3 linked regions of the Macaca fascicularis genome follow. The protein of the gene in region 1 interacts with the protein of each later gene in a pairwise test. Links are inferred from orthologs where the notes say so. Each region holds a gene or a part of one and is shown on either strand. Other genes may lie near its edges.

Region 1 (7,086 bases):
CGAGACGCTCAAGAAGGTGCAGGCGCTCAAGAAGAGCAAGCTGCTGCTGCCCATCACCTACCGCTTCAAGCGGTGATCGCACCACGCCTCCGCGCCTCCGCCCGGGCCTTCCTCCCCCGCCGACCCCGGCCCTCCCCAGGCCCCCGGTGGATGACCTGCGCCTCTCCCTGCCGCGCCCCTGCCCCTCCTCCTCACTCCCTGGGTTGGGGGCTCCCTTAGCCCGGCCCCCAAGCGCGACGGCCCAGGGCCGGCCGCAGCCCCTTCCCGAACGCCGGCATCCCCTTCCGCTTGGGCTGCCCAGCCCTGTCCTCGCCGGACCCCTTCCTCCTGGAAATCAACCAGGCAGGAGGGTGCCGCCCCCCTCTCGGGTGGGGGACTGTATAGACCCCGTCTCCGCCCCAGCCCCGCGGAGGAGCTGCCCACCTGATTCCCGGACAGACCTCCCCAACTCCGCGCGAGACAGAGAATTATTCAGAGAATTTAAATTAAAAAACGACGTGAAAATTTGGAATAAACTGGGCCTCAGCCTTTTCCTAGGAGGGGGACGTGCCTGGGAGGGGGAGGCCGTCGCCCCGACGACGGTGATGGGGTTGCTGGGGCTTCCAAGGGGGTGGGCGGTCAGGCGGGAGGCCGGGTAGGACAGGGTGTAATTAGCCCCCCGGAGGCAGAGACGGAGAAACAGCTGTGCCCCTGAAATCTTGGAGGCAGAGCTCTGGAAAAGAAGCGCGGACACAGCCGGGTGCGGTGGCTCACGCCTGTAATCCCAGCGCTTTGGGAGGCCGAGGCAGGCGGATCACGAGTTCAGGAGATCGAGACCGTCCTGGCTAACACAGTGAAACCCTATCTCTACTAAAAATACAAAAAATTAGCCAGGTGTCCCAGCTACTCGGGAGGCTGAGGCAGGAAAATCGCTTGAACCCAGCAGGCGGAGGTTCCAGTGAGCCGAGATCTGGCCACTGCACTCTAGCCTGGGCGATAGAGTCTCCGTCGCAAAAAAAAAAAAAAAAAAAAAGTAAAAAGCGTAAACGCTACCCGCTGGGCTACCCGGACCAGTGAGTGGCGCGAGAGGCGGGACTCGATGACCTCGAGCAGGGGAGGCCACCCAGCGGCCAGGCCAAGTCTGGGGGATTCTTCCGTCCGGCCGCCAGGGGGCAGTAACGCCAGATCATCTGTCTCCCGGAAGGACTGCGCGATCATCCATCTGTTGCGCCTGCGCGACGGGAGGGGCCGGAGCGCGTTGATGCGGTTGCCAAGACAACCAAGAGGGTGGCCGGATTTAACCGTTGGGGATTAAGCACTTTCACTCCAGGAAGGGAAAATCTCGCGCACGCGCAACGGGGACTGAAACCTGGTCCCCGCAACCCCCTTCACCGGAGCAGTGGGAGAGCGCGCCACAGAGACACTTACGCAGGCGCAGAAGCCTGTTTCCCCCTCACCCGCCGCTTCCACCCTGCGCAGGCGCAAAAAGCCGCGCTGGCAACCTCCGCAGCGGTCGCGCGCACCGTTCACCCCTCTTGCTGCTTTTGTCTCGCGCAACCTTCTCAGGCCCTCCGCGAGGCCGGTCCTTTTTTTCTTTCACTTTCCCCACCCGGAGAGCCAGGTGCTGAGAACCGGTACCTCGTCTCCTTCTCTGTATCCCTTCCCCTGACCCACCTCGCCTCCGTCCTCCCTCCCTTTTCCGTTCCCGAAGCCGGAAGGAGCCGAAGCACCCACGAAAAAAGCCGAAGCTGTCCCCGGAGAGTGAGGCCTTCACGAAGCGGTGGCGGAAGGAGCCGAAGTTCTCTGATCTGCGGAGTGAGCAAGTGGCATCTCCGGAAAGAGCCGAAACTTGGACTCGAGCTTAATCCCAGGAGGGGCCCGAGGGCGAGCTCCGGAAATCTCCGGAAAGAGCCGAAGGCCGGGACGGTTAGGATTGTCGGAAGTGGCCGATTGCTTGGACAGGGCCGGCGGAGAAGATCGGAGGAAATCCGTGGAAGCAGCCAAAGACTGGGACGGATTGAATTGTCGGAAGAACCCGAACTCGCAGAGGGGGCTGGGCGCAGTGGAACACGAGGACACACGGAAACCTCCGAACGTTGAGGAGATAATTTTGGAAAAGTTACGGAAACCTGGGAAGTCGGCGAAACCCTACCTTCGGGTGTTTTCGGAAGCAGTCGCAGCTGCCATCTGCGTCTCCTTCGTCCAGTGTCCGGAAATAGCCGACGCGCTTCGGAGCCAGGCTCGGGGGGAGGGGCAAGCTCGCGGGCGGGCGGGCGGGTGAGGGGGCGGAGCCCGGGCGGGTGGGGAGGGCTGCCGGAGGCTTGATTAGGTAGGAGGTGGCGAAGCGCCGGCGGCGGCCGGAAGTAGCCGAAGCCAGCGGCGGAAGTAGCCGAAGCGGCCGGAGCGGGCGGCAAGGCGAGGCGAGAGCTGCACAGGGCCCTACGCGGCCGCCTCAGCATGTCGGACTTCGACGAGTTCGAGCGGCAGCTCAACGAGAATAAACAAGGTGAGGGCGCCGGGGTCGCGGGGCGGAGGTGTGGGCGGCTCCTCGCGTCGCTCTTTGCCCCCCCGCCATTTTCTCCCTCGCTTCCCCCCACCTCTCACGGCCGTGCGACCCCCCCCAACCCCGGTTCCGTGGCGCGCGCCTCGTTCACGTGACATCCCCAGCGTTCGGCCGCGCGCTAGGCGAGGGGAAGGGGGCGGCAGGGCGCGGGCCCATGACGCATGCGCACGGCGGCTGTCCCCGTGCCCCACGTGGTCCTGCCGGAGGTGGCTCGGGGGACGCGGCGCGAGTGCGCCAGGTACCTCGACGTGAACTTTTGTTTTTTAAAATCTTTTTGTATTCTCTGAAAAGGAGATTATGTTAGGCCCCGTAATCCGTTCTTTTTCTCCCGCTGCCTTGGCACTTCCGCTTCCGGTCGGGCCCACGGCCGCGTCTCCACGCCCCCTTTGTTTCCAAAATGGCGGTTGTGAGGACTCGGGGGGGCCCCCCTTTCCCTCCTTCACGTGGATGAGGACAGAGCTGTTTCGGGGGACTCTTGGAGGCCACGAGCCCGTCTCATACCCCTTTTCCTTTTTGCTGATTTGCTGCGACCTCTTCTGCCAGGTGGTTTCTGCCCCGTCTGTTGGTAGTGGGGCGCCTCATATTAACGTGTTGGGCGCATGTTCCCTGAAGCATCTGCATTCTTTGAGTGTCGGCACGCACACATCCTGCATATGCGGAACTTTTGGCGGTCCCGAGAATCGCGATATGGAGTGTTTGAGACAAACCGCAAATCATGTAGGATCCCAAACTCGGGGCACCTGATAATACTCAGCCTCAGATCTCGATGTAGAGATAAGGAAACAGGTTCTGAGGGAGGAAGAGGGATCTGGCCCACTGCGCTAAACTCTTCACTTAACGGGGAAGGTGGGAGGCAGGTTCCTTTCAGGGTATCGAGAATGTGATGGGTGAGAACAAAAAGCGTGGGGCCCTGCTGATCTTAGGGATTCCGAGAATATTAGAAGTGGGAGAGTTGTTCCATGTTTCAGTTTGAGAGTGAAGAAACACAGGACTAGGGAAGGTTGGGGACTTGTTTCATTTCTTTTGAGGCTTCAGCTGCCCATGATCCTAGGTCGTTCGGAGGACGAAATGAGGGCTAAGGAATTTTCCTTTGAACCCAGGGGCTGTATTAGGAAACAGTGCCCTGGGGAAGAAATAACGTTTACTGAGGGTCTGACTCTGTCTTAGGTGATGGACTGTTCAAGAGCATAGGCTTTGGAGTTGAGCACATCAGGGATTTAGATACTTGCTTTGTTGGTTAGTAACTACTTTTAATACGTTTATCTTTCTTTTTTTTTCCTATTTGTAGACTGATTATTATTTTTTCTCACTCGGTTTTGAGAAGATTAGTAAGGATTATAGTAACGATAGGTGTAGTTAAACTCTGAGCGCTTATGTGTGCCAGGCTCTTCGCTAAACTCTTAGCGTGATTTTATTTAGGGGATCCTTGTAACAGCCCTGTGAGGTCAAAATGATTTCCACCTCTACTGGGGAGGAAACTGAGGGCTCAGAAAAATTAAAAACTTTCTCAGGGCTCAGCTAGTCAGAGGCAGAGCTGAGATTAAATGGGGTAACGTAAAGTGTGTGGCATGTGGCTTGGTGTACACTAGGTGTGCAGTAAGCGATATTTGCAATTGTAAAATTCCATGCTTAAAGAGGAGGGTCTTCCACTCACAGAGATTGTGTCACAGTTGGGAAAGGGCAGGAAAAGGTGCTTTCCAAATGTCATTCTGTCACACAACACCTGAGTGGAGTAGATGTGACCCTCGTTTACAGAGAAAAAACCAAGTCTTAAAGGTTAAGTTGTTTTTGCATGGTTTTTGTTGGTAAGCAGAAAAGCAGGTACTGATTCTGAGCTCTGGCTGGCTGCAAGGCCAGGTTCCACTCTGCTGGGCCACCAAGTGGAGCTGATCGGGCCGTTCTTTGAGGCTCTCAGATGGTGCTTCACTGGTTCTCCCGGGGTTTCCCCCTTGGTGCTGATAGGGCCCTCCCTGAGACCTGGCACGGCTCCTGGGTTGCCGGAGCTGCTCCCATAAGATGACCACAATACAGTGTTTTGAGCAAATGAAGCTCTCTTGGTTTTTACCTGTCCAGCATCAGTGTGTGGGAGAGGGTTCTTGTCATAGGGGAAGCTCTGCCCACGTGTCACTCTGCCTGTGGGTCTTTGTGGAGGACGCATCAGCCTCTGTACCTGTCGGCTTCTGCTTCAGTCCCTTCCTCTGCTACCTGTGTCGATAGGGAATTTCCTTGTCTGTGTCCCAGGCACCCAACGGGCGTCATTGCTTTCTCTGCGTGGCTTCCTCTCTGCCTGCTTGCCTGTTTCAGAGCCTTAGCAGCAGGAAGGGCTCTTGGGGCTCACAGCCTGTCCATCTTACAGGCGTGGAGTTGTGCCCAGTGCCGTGCCTGCGTGCTTACCCTGCTGCTCTGCACTGCTGGCCTGTCCTGCCAATTGTTCCTCCCAATTTCAGTTTTTGATTTTGGGGTTTTTGGCCTTCGAGGGGACAATTATATTGTCATTAGTGGTTCTAGCCAGACTTGAGTGTTCTGCCTGATCCACATTCAAGAGTATGACTTGGTGCCTAACTCACTGATGTTTTAGTGTTTACGTTCTGGTATCACCATTTCCTAGCTGTCTGGCCTTGGGCAACTGTGATCTCTCTGAACCTTAGTTTTCTACCCATTAGGTCAGCCCCCCGCAGCGTTTTTCCGAAACAGTAGTGAGGATTAAGAACAAACAAAGCTATTTAGTACAGAAGCATCTCAGTATTTGTTTCTGTTTTTTTCCCTTCTGGGTGCATATTTTTCTGAGTGTTGGTGGTTTTGGAATTGTGATGCTTTTCCAAACATTCAAATTGCATCACAAAAACATAAGACAAAACGCTGTGGGTGAGGCTAAAGTTTAACATCCTCCCTCAGTGCCTTTTCCTCCTCTTGTCCCCAGGGATGATCACTCCAGGAGATGCGTGTTAACATGAGCACCTTAACGTGTGCATCTTTTTTGTGTGAGTGCTTCGTGGCTAGTTGAGAAATCTGGGTGTCTTTGAATTAAGGAAATGGTATGGCGGTGCTCATGAACACCCTCAATGCTCATGCTTTATTCTCCATCTTAAAGGGCCGGTCGTCCTTCTTCAGGGGTTGAAGGGTCTGGTGAGAGCAGAGGTCTCTGTGGTTTTAGCAGCAAGGCTCTGTTTCTAGTGGCTACGTCAGGCAAATGCAGGGTTGAGGGAGCCGGCTGGAGGCTGGCAGAGATGCATGCCCCTACCCTACAGTACAGCCTCTCCAGCGCTTGGCTTTGAAGGGAGTGAGGCCGGGAGAATCAAGTGGTTTGGGATTCAAGTCTGGATGGGGCAAGCTCCTCCCCTGTCCTGCTGAAGGAGAGGAGGGCCTCTTTCCCCTTCAGTCTGCGGATTCTCTGAGGCCCTTCCCTTCCCCTGGGGAAGGGTGCTTGCTTCTGCATTATTCACTGGCTTGGGAAGGGATGGGTTGAGTTTCCCTGCTTCCTGGGGACATCAGATCCTGCCTGGCACCTGACCCCCAGGCCTGATGGTGGGGCTGTGGGTGCCAGCTGGTTGCAGAGGTCTTTCCTGAGGGGTCGCTGGGTCCCTTCAGGAAAACATCATTGGGTCTCTTGATTCCCCAGCCTCTAGCCCTGCCCCTCTCAGGGACGACCCTGGGGTCAGGCCCCTCAGCCCTCGAGGGGACCAGGAGCCAGCCTCCTCTGTCTTCTCTGGCTCCCAGCTCCTCCTGAGCATCCTCAGGTATCTCACACCCCGGGGGCATTTCCAGGCCCCGTCCCCCTGGTCCCCTCGTGGTCCCTGGACTCGCTTGTGGACCCAGGAGGCCTGTTAATTCCCTTCCTCCATTGGATCCCTTCCCTTTGGGGGTGGCCTCCCTGGGGCTGGGGACATAGCCACCAGCGCGCAGGGTGGGCTGGGTCCGCAGCCTTACTCCGCTCATCCCTTGCCCCTCCTCTCACCCTTGCCCAGAGAGGGACAAGGAGAACCGGCATAGGAAGCGCAGCCACAGCCGCTCTCGAAGCCGGGACCGCAAACGCCGGAGCCGGAGCCGTGACCGGCGCAACCGGGACCAGCGGAGCGCCTCCCGGGACAGGCGGCGACGAAGGTACTAGGACTCAGGGATCCTCCTGGGGCAGCCTGGGAGTCGGGGGGTTGGTGTTGGCCGTCCTGTGGGTGGCCTGTGCGTGTCTGTCTGGGCCCGGGCCCTGTGTGGCTCGTTTGTTCTTCGTATGCATCTGGGGGAGGGATCTACTGCTTGGTCTGTCTTGAATTCCGATTTTTTTCCCCTCTTTCTGGGGTTTCTTTCATTTTCTCTTGGTGGTTGCTGGTGGGTTGCTGGGGGCAGTAGGTTCTTTATCTGGAGCCTGGGAATTGATTCTGTGTTTTCCTTCACAAGGGGCTGTTCTCTGTCTCTGACTCTGAGGGCCTGTTCCTTCTTTTCGACTCTCTGTGGCTCTCTGTGGGACTCTCTTCGAGGGGGTTGGTCTCTGCCTCCAGTTTCTTTCTTCCCTGCCTCCCAGGAGAAGGGAGCTCTTGGGACTGAGGCAG
Region 2 (5,274 bases), on another chromosome or scaffold:
GTTAATGGATAACTACTATTAGTCTCAAAATTCTAGGCATTTCTATAAAACATCGGTCAATGTGACTAGTAAATGAAAGGGACCAAGGTTTCAAAGATCAAGTCAATACTGAACCTTGATAAATAACAAGAGGAAATGTAACTCCACAAAATGTTTCTGATTAAGTTTGTGCCCATGCAAAATTAACATAAATTTCTTAAAGAATGAGGAATGTTAAAGCAATGTATTTTTTCAACATAAAGCATGCATTTTCTAATACATTCTTAAACATTTCAAAATTTTAAAAGTTTGAATTCTAATCAAATAACACTCTTCATTAGCTATTAATGCAGTCTAACCAGTGCCCCAATCAGATATGGAACACACACTTGTTATTGTCATGGAAATAATTCATGGGAGTGCTACTAAAGATATATGAGACTTCAACTCTTGACCACACCACTTTTGCTCCAAAACTTTAGAACTTGTTTGCAAAAGCTAAATGGTATAAAGCACATTTTAAAATGTCACCCAATTCTCAAATGTCACTGAAAGAAAATGCAGGAAAAGTATGTATTGTGTGATTAATCAACTTAGACACAGCAATTTGCTGCAAAAATTTCAAAGTATGAACTAGCCTTAACTCAAAATACTTTGAACATTCACAAAATTGTTTGTAGAGTTCTAACCTAAAACAACTAAGGAGGTGTGCCTTGATATTCTGAAACACTGTCTTAATACTTTATTAGAAGAAATACACTTGAAATTTCTTTATCATAATCTAAATGCAAACTTTAAAAATATATACCAGTAGAATACCATATTACAAATGCCCAGAAATGTAGAATGAAGGTCAAAAACTGCTTGGAAATATTTTTATGATTAAACTCATAACTTAACAAAGCTTATGAACTAGCACAATCATTATGGGGCCAACATTTCAAGATATTTTGCCTATCAAAGCTAGCACCAGGAAAAGTATTATGCACGTAAAATTGAGAAACAGATAATCCTTACTTTAGAAAAGCACAGTTCTACAGAGTATTGCTCTGGCTAGTTTAGCTAGTAAAAGGGTCAGTTTATCTCATGGAGGCATGTATCTCCTTGGATCCATTAACTTATCTGAAGAACTTTCCAGGTACTTGGTATGTACTGAAAATTCCTACTGGAATCAGAGTTTATCATGGAGAAAACGCATTGTTCTTTCAAGATGCCAGTTAAAATAATGGCACGATAAACATTTTAAACTTACCTTTTATAAAAACTGAGATATTCTAGTACTAAAAAGAGGAAAACAAACAAACAAAAAAAACAAAACAAAAAAACAAATCCCTAGTCCCTGAAAGGCTAACCAAGACTCCATTATTCAATTTTCCTCTGCATTTCTAAAACACAGGTTTCATTGGCTAGAATTTTAGAATTCTGCAACATGGCTAATGGCTACCACCTGATCACCAAATTAACACTTCATTCATTGTAACAAGTGTGAAAATAATTTCATCAGTGATTAAACAACGACTTTATGCCAGTGCCATGAGTCTTGTAATTCTTAGTCCCAAGGAAGGGAGGATAACAGCTTAATAGCAATTCTCAAATTGGCACAAATAATTTATCATCTGCAATGGGTAGAAGAAGATACTACGAAAGAACATAATTTCTACAAAGTCAACACTTTTTTTTTTTTTTTGAGACGGAGATTTGCTCCTGTTGCCCAGGCTGAAGTGCAATGGCACGGTCTCGGCTCACTGCAACTTCTGCCTCCTGGGTTCAACTGATTCTCCTGCCTCAGCCTCCCGAATAGCTGGGATTACAGGCATGCACCAACACGCCTGGCTAATTTTTGTATTTTTAGTAGAGACGGGGTTTCACCATGTTAGCCAGGCTGGTCTCGATGATCTAACCTCAGGTGATCCACCCGCCTCGGCCTCCCAAAATGCTGGGATTATAGGCGTGAGCCATCATGCCCGGCCAAAAGTCAACAATTTTTCCAAATCTTTTTCTTCAAAGTCTTCAACAAAGACTTTGAACTGCCAAAGTTGTAATCTAGTAAGTCAAACTGCTTATCTCAATTCAGAGTAAAAAAAGGCACAAAAGAAAAACAAGCAGCATAACCTTTATTTGGTCATACAATAGGTGAAGAGTGTCTCAATGTTTTGAACACTAAATTTTACTCATGTGATAATTTTTTTCTATCTAGGCAATTTATTCAGATATGTGCTTTAAAAATACACATTAGGAACTCTGCAACTGATATGTTCTATTTAATATTAGAAACATTTTTCATGGTAATACATTATTTAACTTTCTATAATTAGAGGGAAAAAATCAATCATAAAGATCATACTTTATATTTTAACCTGACAGAATAAATGCATTTTATATATATATCTCTTTGAAAACCAGTGCACTTAGAAGTTTCTAATTTATGCACTCCATTGCTCTAATCAAAAAGCTATACATCTTTCAGTATCCACACTATAACACAGTCCTAGTAAAGATGCACATTCCTTTCAACACTTTACTTTCCCTTGAATTTTGTGGGGGAGGTTGGAGGGGAAGGAAGGATACAGAAGTTGCAGTGCAGACCTATATTTATTTAGAACAAAACATCATATCCTATGTTAAAAAAATAATTTTATCAAAACCAAATTTCAATCACAGTTATGTATGATTTTCAGTTAATGGTACATGTTGAAATTGCACTTTGCAGATATCCTGATAATGTCTTTGACAGCGTTCCCCATTTCAGCCTATGTTTTTTTCAGTAGACACAGGTTCTTCCAGAGTTTTCTTTTGGCTCCCCTTCCGTGAATATTTGTATTTGTCTACATAGGCTTTAACCAGATTTGCCACTTTAGTAGAATTTACTTCTCCACTCTTACTATGACAAACCTAAGAAAAAAGGGGTGGAGGGTAAACTTTTTTCATGCTTAAAGGGATTAAAGCCAAAATAGAAAGCTTTGTGAAAAACAACCCCAAAGAGATAACCAGACTTATTTTCATGTTTCATTATCTCATACAAACTAGTCAAAAGGCAAAAAAGTAGACAGGAATTAGTAGGAGCTAGCTTTTATTATTTTAATTAAACTTCAGCATTCATTTATTAAAACAGAGGTGGTTCAAAACAATGTGCACATACTCCACTAAAGGCATAACTTACTTTATCTACTGCTTTCCGTACAATTTCTTTATATTCTTCCTTGGTGATATCTTTATTTTGGTAAAATGGCTTAATGGCCAATTTTACCTCTTGTGCTGCTTTTTCTTGAATTTGCAATTTCTGATGAGAAGAAAATGTATAATTTATTATTAACCAGTCATATGCTCTCACGAAATTTCAAACAAGAAATTGAAAATACTTCACATTTACAATAAGAGACTCTCCAACTATTAACGTGACAAATACAAAACAGTTTATTTACTAAAACATATCAAACATTTCTAAAAACAATTGTCAAGTATTACCAGTAATTTACTGGACATCAACTCATCTAGAGAGAATCCTTCAAATAATATTGGCATTTAGACTGCCAATAAGAAATTCCCTTCACCACTCATACAATAAAAAGCTGATATTTTTCACCTTTATCATATACAGAATTATGGAGGTTGCTCTCAACCTTGAACTTGCCTTGTCTGTCTTCGAGCTATCTGCGCTGGCTTCCACTGTAACACTTACTTTGCTTTCTGCCAATTTTACAGCAGCAATAGAGGCTTTGCTGTGACTTGATGACGAAGTATTACCAGAACTTGGTCCCTGAACCGTTCCCGTATTTCCTGGGGCTGCTGTTGGAGCAGGCAAAACTGGTGTACTCATGTTATTACTTACATGAGAAGAACTAGGAATACCCTGTGTTAAAGAGTTATCATCAGTTAATGAATTACTTGTACTCAATAGAAGTCTTTTAGTGATGTATTAGAAATAACATTAAAAAACACAAAGCAAACCAACCTTAGTACTAAAGAAAAATGCATATTTCAGGTAATTATATCTAAAGGGCCCTTTAAAGAAAAATGATTAACACTCTTAAACAGGGCCTTATTTAGATATGTCAAGATGAGTTTTAAATTATATATATGGATTGTAACATTCTGACAGCAACACTAAAAACAAGGAGGAGAAGAGCTTTTAAAGAACTGTATCTTTCCTGCAAGGATCTTCAGGAATATTAATGAAAATAAGTGCCCCCACTTTAAAGATTGGAAAAAATAAGGCAGTAAAATCAAATGGCTTGTAGTAAGTTGATAGGAGAAAAAGATTAAGATACAAAATACTAAAATCCAATTTCCCTATTCTTTCAACTCTATCGTACTGTCAGGATTCTACTTTTATTTATTTATTTATTTATTTATTTATTTATTTATTTATTTATTTATTTATTTTGAGACGAAGTCTCACTCTCTCCCACGCTAGAGTTCAGTGGCGCAATCTTGGCTCAATGCAATCTCTGACTACTGGTTCAAGTGATTCTCAAGCCTCAGCCTCCAAGTAGCTGGGATTACAGGCATGCATCACCACGCCTGGCTAATTTTTGTATATATATTTTTTTCAAGACAGAGTCTTGCTCTGTCACCCAGGCTGGAGTGCAGTGGCACGATCTCAGCTCACTGCACCCTCCACCTCCTGAGTTCAAGCAATTCTCCAGCCTCAGCTTCCTGAGTAGCTGGGATTACAGGTGCCCGCCACCACACCCAGCTAATTTTTGTATTTTTAGTAGAGGCAGGGTTTCACCATGTTGGCCAGGCTGATCCTGAGCTCGTGATCCGTCCACCTTGGCCTCCCAAAGTGCTGGGATTACAGGTGTGAGCCACTGTGCCTGGCCTAATTTTTGTATTTTTGGTAGAGATGGGGTTTCACCATGTTGGCCAAGCTGGTCACGAACTCCTGACTTCAACTGATCCACCTGCCTTGGCCTCCCAACGTGCTGGGATAACAGGTGTGAGCCACCGTGCCCGCCTAGGATTCTAAAATTTTTTAAAGGCAGTCATAAAATTATAAGCAACACAATGTTTGCAAATTATTCAAATTTTCTATGTCTCACAGAGGCACTTCTCCTTTCTTTTCAGCATGATAAATTCATGAAAATGAAACACAGATGGTAATGGATAATGAACAGCTTTATCTAGTGTTTGTCTGAACAAGACAATAAAAACTTCATCATAGTACTTAATCACTAATTCCCACCGCCCCATACACCCCCCATAAACAATGCAAAACAGCAGAAAAATGTAAAGTGCCCACCACTTGATCCTAATTTGGTTTATAATTTGGTTTACTTAATATGAAAAAAAAAA
Region 3 (6,288 bases), about 16 Mb from region 1:
TTTATTGAATCTCATTTTCTACATGTAAAAACTGAGCAAAATCATAATACCTTTTTTGCATGGATGTTGGGTGAGATTAAATTAGCTAAACCTTGCAGTATTTCTTTTTTATGTTAACTGGCAGCTAGTAAGGGCTGGATAAATGTTAGCTCTTATCACTTCAAGAAAATTGTCAGGAGAACCGAAGGAGCTTACTGGGATTCAGTTTGAGGTCACCAGTGAAGTTGCTCTTGAAGAAAGCAAAACCAGCAGCCGGGGCACTGGCTCACGCCTGTCATCCCAGCACTTTGGGAGGCTGAGGTGGGAGATCGTGTGAGGTCAGGAGTTCAAGACCAGCCTGGCCAAGATGGTGAAACCCCGTGTCTACTAAAAATACTTTGGGAGGCTGAGGTGGGAGATCGTGTGAGGTCAGGAGTTCAAGACCAGCCTGGCCAAGATGGTGAAACCCCGTGTCTACTAAAAATCAGCTGGGTGTGGCGGCGCACATCTATAGTCCCAGCTACTTGGGAGGCTGAGGCAGGAGAATCACTTGAACCCTGGGAAGCAGAGGTTGCAGTGAGCTGAGACTGCACCACTGTACTCCAGCCTGGGTGATAGAGACTCTCAAAAAAAGATAAAATAAAATAAAACAAAACCAGGAATGTAAATTTTGCATATGCTTTTAGAGTGTGGTGCCTAACCATTATTGGGCAGTGCTGGGGACACACTGGTGACATAGAACGCTGGTTCTTTTTTTTTTTTTTTTTTTTTTTTTGAGACAGAGTCTCGCTCTGCCGCCCAGGCTGGAGTACAGTGGCCAGATCTCAGCTCACTGCAAGCTCCACCTCCCGGGTTCACGCCATTCTCCTGCCTCAGCCTCCTGAGTAGCTGGGACTACAGGCGCCCGCCACTGCGCCCGGCTAATTTTTTGTATTTTTAGTAGAGACGGGGTTTCACCGTGTTAGCCAGGATGGTCTCGATCTCCTGACCTCGTGATCCACCCGTCTCGGCCTCCCAAAGTGCTGGGATTACAGGCTTGAGCCACCGCGCCCGGCTTTTTTTTTTTTTTTTTTAAATGAGGTGGAGTGTCGCTGTGTTGCATAGGCTGGAATGCAGTGGCGCAATCTCAGTTTACTGCAACCTCCGCCTGCCGGATTCAAGCAGTTCTCTGCCTCAGCCTCCTGAGTAGCTGGGATTCCAGGCACCTGCCACCATGCCCAGCTAATTTTTGTATTTTTAGCAGAGACAGGGTTTCACCATCTTGGCTACGCTGGTCTCGAACTCCTGACCTTGTGATCCACCTGCCTCGGCCTCCCAAAGTGCTGGGATTATAGGCGTGAGCCACCGCGCCCGGCCGGAACCCTGGTTCTTTAGGACAGTGACAGCCCAGAGTAGTCAGGGCCATCATGCAGGAAGCTTAGGCAGAGTGTTGAGGGCTGAGATTGGGACCTTAGAAAGACAGAGGGATCCATTCAGCTTCCTGGCAAAGGAGACATTTTGGAGAGCCTGCCAGGTAGAGGAAGCAGTATTTATGTTACATTGAGGGAGAAGAGTGTTATTAACTTGGGCCAGCTTGTGTAGATGTTTAGGGGTAAAAGAGCCTGGCACATTCTGGGTATTACAAGTAGTTTTGTGGGCCTGAGGCCTAGAGGCCTGTAAATCATGGAGAAGCTTCCAGCGAGCTGTGCACTGGTGGCTCCTGGCTATGAGGCTCGTGGCTATGAGGTGTCAGACTTTGCCCTGAGGGTGTTGGGGAGCCAGCTTGCTTCCCTGTCCTGGTTGCCTCCTCATCTATCCTTCCAGCGGTGGAGGGTAAATGCGAATGGGCAAGAGGAGGCTGGAGAGTAGAGAGAGGCCCAGAGTCCAGTGGAATGAGTGAAGTCTGAATGAGATTCATGGGGATGGAGTATGGAGAAGAAAACCAGAAATGTTACCCCCAGGAGAATTTTTGACTAATTGTTTAAAAACAAGTTTGACTGCTGTCCCTGCCCCCACCCAGCCTGCACACATTTTCTTGCTTCTTTCCTAGTCTAGTATCTATTTTACCAAGTGGCTTCTGCTTCAGCTCAACATATTTTTTTGAGACGGACGTTCGATCTGTTGCCCAGGCTGGAGTGCAGCGGCATAATCTCTGCTCACTGCAACTTTTGCCTCCCTGGTTCAAGCTATTCTCCTGCCTCAGCCTCCCAAGTAGCTGGGATTACAGGCGCACTCCACCACGACTAGCTAATTTTTTCTTTCTTTCTTTTTTTTTTTTTGGCCTTTTTAGTCGAGATGGAGTTTCACCGTCTTGGCCAGGCTGGTCTTGAACTCCTGACCTCAAGTGATCTGCCTCAGCCTCCCAAAGTGCTGGAATTACAGGCATGAGCCACCATGCCACGCCAGTTTTTATGAAAGTTGGAGTCCAGTGGCAGGATCTGCCTCCCAGGCTAGAGTGATCCTCCCACTTCAGCCTCCCAAGTAGCTGTGACCATAAGGCACGCGTCACCATGCGTGGCTAATTTTTGTATCTTTTGTAGAGACAGGGTTTCACCATATTGCCCAGGCTGGTCTTGAACTCTTGAGCGCAAAGGATCTGCCCACCTCGGCCTCCCAAAGTGCCGGGATTACAGGTGTGAGCCACCATGCTTGGCCATCTCAGCCATCTACTTTGCATAAGACATTGGTACCCTTTGTAGACCTGAGTGATGAGAGGGAGTCCATCCTTGTTGACCTTGAATCCCACTTGCTGTCAAGTGATGCCCTTTGCTGGTGAGATGTGGTGGTACCGGATTCAGATGGAATTCGTGGACTGGGCTCTGCCATGCCCTTGTGCCCTCCAGATTGTTGTACTGGTCCAGTGAGGAATCCTCTGAGAACCTGTTTCCATTTGAGTAAAACTGGGACAGTCATAGTTGCCACTTAATGGGGTTGCTGTGAGGAAGTTACCTCTATAAAGCATTTGATGGGGGTGCGATGGCTCATGCCTATAGTCCCAGCACTTTGGGAAGCCAAGGCAGGAGGATCACTGGAGCCCAGGAGTTCAAGACCAACCTGGGCAACATAGGAGATTGTATCTACAAAAAAATAAAAAATTAGCCATGCGTCGTGTTGCGTGCCTGTAGTCCCAGCTCCTTGGGAGGCTGAGGTGAGAAGATTGCTTGAGCCTAGGAGGTCGAGCCTGCAGTAAGCTATTATGCCACTGAACTCCAGCCTGAGCAACAGAAGGAGACCCTGTCTAAAAAAAGCACTTGATGGTATCTGTAGTCAAATGTTTGTAGCCAAGTGTGGTGGCACACTCCTGTAATCCCAGCACTTTGGGAGGCCAAGGTGGGCTAATTCCTTAAGCTCAGGAGTTCAAGACCAGCCTGGGCAACATAGCAAGACCCTGTCTCTGCACAAAATCCAGAAGTTAGCTGGGCATGGTGGCATATACCTGTGGTCCCAGCTACTCAGGAGGCTGAGGTGGGAGGATCGCTTGAGTCTGGGAGTTTGAGGCTACAGTGAATCATGATCATGCCACTGCACTCCAGCATGGGTGACAAAGTGAGACCTTGTTGCCAAATAAAAAAAAATAAATATGTGTGATGGAGTCTGTGCCAGGCATGGAGATACTGCAGTAAACAAATGGGACAGGCTTATTGCTCCTCAGGTAAGATAGACAAGTTAACGTACCATGACAGGAGGCGGGAAATAGTCATGAAAGAAAAGGAAGTAGAGTAAGAATGACATGGGAAGACATTTAGACATGGTGGTCAGAGGTGGCAACGTTTCCTCTGAGACTTGGGTGACTAGAAGGTGGCCGCCATGTAAACCTCAGGGGAGGGATGTTCCAGGTAAAGGGAGCAGCCAGTGCAAAGGCCCTGGGGCAGAATTGTTGTGTCAGACCTAGGGGCCAGTGTGGTTGGGGACTCAGGAGCATAGTGGAATGTGGGCAGGAATGAGTTGGGGGAAATCTGCCAGGGCCACGTCATGCAGGCCTGTGTCAGGGTGCTGGTGGCAATGAAAAGAATCACTCATATTTACTGAGCGTTTACTATGTACCGGATGCTGTCCTGAGCACTTTGCATGTATGTGCACATGTTCGTTATATAGCAGCTCTCTGTAAGCACATCTTACAGAAGAGTGTACTTGGCTGCTTGAGTGGTTCCTGGCCGCTTCTGTGATTGTTAGGTCTTGAGAGATTATGGACCCGAGGCATTCTGGGTAGCCCGTCAATTGGCTGATGGTCTTCTATCTGGGCTGCGCTTCTTCTAACAAGGGGAGCTCAGAGGTCTTTTCTTTCCCCACTGCAGAGCTAAAAAAGTCCCTGTACGCCATCTTCTCCCAGTTTGGCCAGATCCTGGATATCCTGGTATCACGGAGCCTAAAGATGAGGGGCCAGGCCTTTGTCATCTTCAAGGAGGTCAGCAGCGCCACCAACGCCCTGCGCTCCATGCAGGGTTTCCCCTTCTATGACAAGCCCATGGTGAGCATTGTGGGTATGGAGGCTGTGTGGGTGTGTGAAATGTTATAGGAGACTGGGCGGGCCTGGATTAGAGGAGGGGATATTAGGGTTCATTCACCAAGGTGAGACTGGACCAGGCTCCCACTGCACCTTGCCTCCTTTAAAAATTTTTTTGGCGGAGTGCGGTGGCTCATGCCTGTAATCCCAGCACTTTCGGAGGCCGAGGCAGGCAGTTTACCTGAGCTCAGGAGTTTGCGACTAGCCTGGGCAACACTGTGAAACCCCGTCTACTAAAATACAAAAATTAGCTGGGCGTGGCAGCATGCGCCTGTAGTCCCAGCTACTCGGGAGGCTGAGGAAGGAGAATTGCTTGAACCTGGGAGGCAGAGGTTGCAGTGAGCCGAGATCCTGCCACTGCTCTCCAGCCTGGGTGACAGAGTGAGACTGTCTCAAAATACGTATATATATGTATATTTGGCTGGACATGGTGGCTCATGCCTGTAATCCCAGCACTTTGGGAGGCTGAGGCCAGTGGATTACCTGAGGTCAGGAGTTCGAGACCAGCCTGGCCAACATGGCGAAACCCTGTCTCTACAAAAATACAAAAATCAGCTGGGCATGATGGCTGGCACCTGTAATCCCAGCTACTTGGGAGGCTGAGGCAGGAGAATTGCTTGAACCCGAGAGGCGGAGGTTGCAGTGAGCCAATATCGCACCACTGCACTCCAGCCTGGGTGACAGAGCAGGACTATATCTCAAAAAATAAAAATAAATTTAAAGAAATCTTAAAAAAATTTTTTTTAATTTATTTTATTTATTTATTTATTTTTGATGAGATAGACGATGCTATCTCCCCTGGAAACGCTGATTTTTGTATTTTTAGTAGAGATAGGGTTTCGCCATGTTGCCCAGGCTGGTCTCGAACTCCTGAGCTCCAGTGATCTGCCGGCCTCAACCTCCCAAAGTGCTAGGATTACAGGCGTGAGCTACTGTGCCACACTAAGAATGTTTAACATACCTTCCCCTACTGAATAAGCACCGTGAAAGAGGGGTTTTTGTCTATTTTTTTCATTGCTTTATTCCCAGAGCCTCGAATTGTGCCTGGCATCTGGCAGGTTCTTCTTTTTTTTTTTTTTTTTGAGACAGAGTCTTGCTCTGTCGCCCAGGCTGGAGCGCAGTGGCCGGATCTCGGCTCACTGCAAGCTCCGCCTCCCGGGTTTATGCCATTCTCCTGCCTCAGCCTCCCGAGTAGCTGGGACTACAGGCGCCCGCCACCTCGCCCGGCTAGTTTTTTTTTTTTTTTTTTTTTGTATTTTTTAGTAGAGACGGGGTTTCACTGTGTTAGCCAGGATGGTCTCGATCTCCTGACCTCGTGATCCGCCCGTCTCGGCCTCCCAAAGTGCTGGGATTACAGGCTTGAGCCACCGCGCCCGGCCTGGCAGGTTCTTCTTAAACAGCTAAGTGAATGAGATTGAACCTGGAAGACTGAGGTGTATTCTTGTGTGATAGGAAATCCCCGTGCACTGCACTCCTCTCCTAGCATTGTCTCCTCGGGCTTTTGGCCTGACGTTTATTGCTGTTCCAGCTTCCCTTGAAAATACCAACAGCCTTTCTACTGAACACTTACTTACTGTGTGTCAGGTACTGTTCCAAGCACTTTAACTCATTTAGTCCTCATAACAGTCCTTTGAAGTGGGAGGTATCATAATCCCCGTTTTTCAGACAAGGAGGTTAAGGCCAAGATATTTATATTTCTGTGTTTCTCAGTAAGCTCCTGATAAGGTCTGATTTTTTTGTTTTTTGTTTTTGTTTTGTTTTGTTTTTTGAGACAGTGACTTGCTCTGTCGCCTGGGCTGGAGTGCACAGGCGCGATCTCAGCTCAC

What was found.
Region 2: the proteins of U2AF2 (region 1) and SCAF11 interact in binary tests that used the Homo sapiens proteins (3 or more experiments, as listed by UniProt). The link is inferred for Macaca fascicularis from reciprocal best matches to the Homo sapiens genes U2AF2 and SCAF11.
Region 3: the proteins of U2AF2 (region 1) and SNRPA interact in binary tests that used the Homo sapiens proteins (3 or more experiments, as listed by UniProt). The link is inferred for Macaca fascicularis from reciprocal best matches to the Homo sapiens genes U2AF2 and SNRPA.

What each region holds. Positions count from the first base shown.
Region 1 is NC_088393.1:63,607,657-63,614,742, forward strand, and holds the start of U2AF2 (splicing factor U2AF 65 kDa subunit), read left to right. Parts: upstream 1-2,360; 5' UTR 2,361-2,436; coding exon 2,437-2,485; intron 2,486-6,161; exon of another isoform or gene 6,162-6,279; intron 6,280-6,507; coding exon 6,508-6,643; intron 6,644-7,086. Other genes in the region: CCDC106 (coiled-coil domain-containing protein 106), read left to right, coding at 1-76. UniProt on the Homo sapiens protein: Plays a role in pre-mRNA splicing and 3'-end processing. By recruiting PRPF19 and the PRP19C/Prp19 complex/NTC/Nineteen complex to the RNA polymerase II C-terminal domain (CTD), and thereby pre-mRNA, may couple transcription to splicing.
Region 2 is NC_088385.1:52,619,087-52,624,360, forward strand, and holds part of SCAF11 (protein SCAF11), read right to left. Parts: intron 3,830-5,274; coding exon 3,611-3,829; intron 3,260-3,610; coding exon 3,140-3,259; intron 2,872-3,139; coding exon 2,725-2,871; 3' UTR 1-2,724. UniProt on the Homo sapiens protein: Plays a role in pre-mRNA alternative splicing by regulating spliceosome assembly.
Region 3 is NC_088393.1:47,867,805-47,874,092, forward strand, and holds part of SNRPA (U1 small nuclear ribonucleoprotein A), read left to right. Parts: intron 1-4,253; coding exon 4,254-4,426; intron 4,427-6,288. UniProt on the Homo sapiens protein: Component of the spliceosomal U1 snRNP, which is essential for recognition of the pre-mRNA 5' splice-site and the subsequent assembly of the spliceosome. U1 snRNP is the first snRNP to interact with pre-mRNA.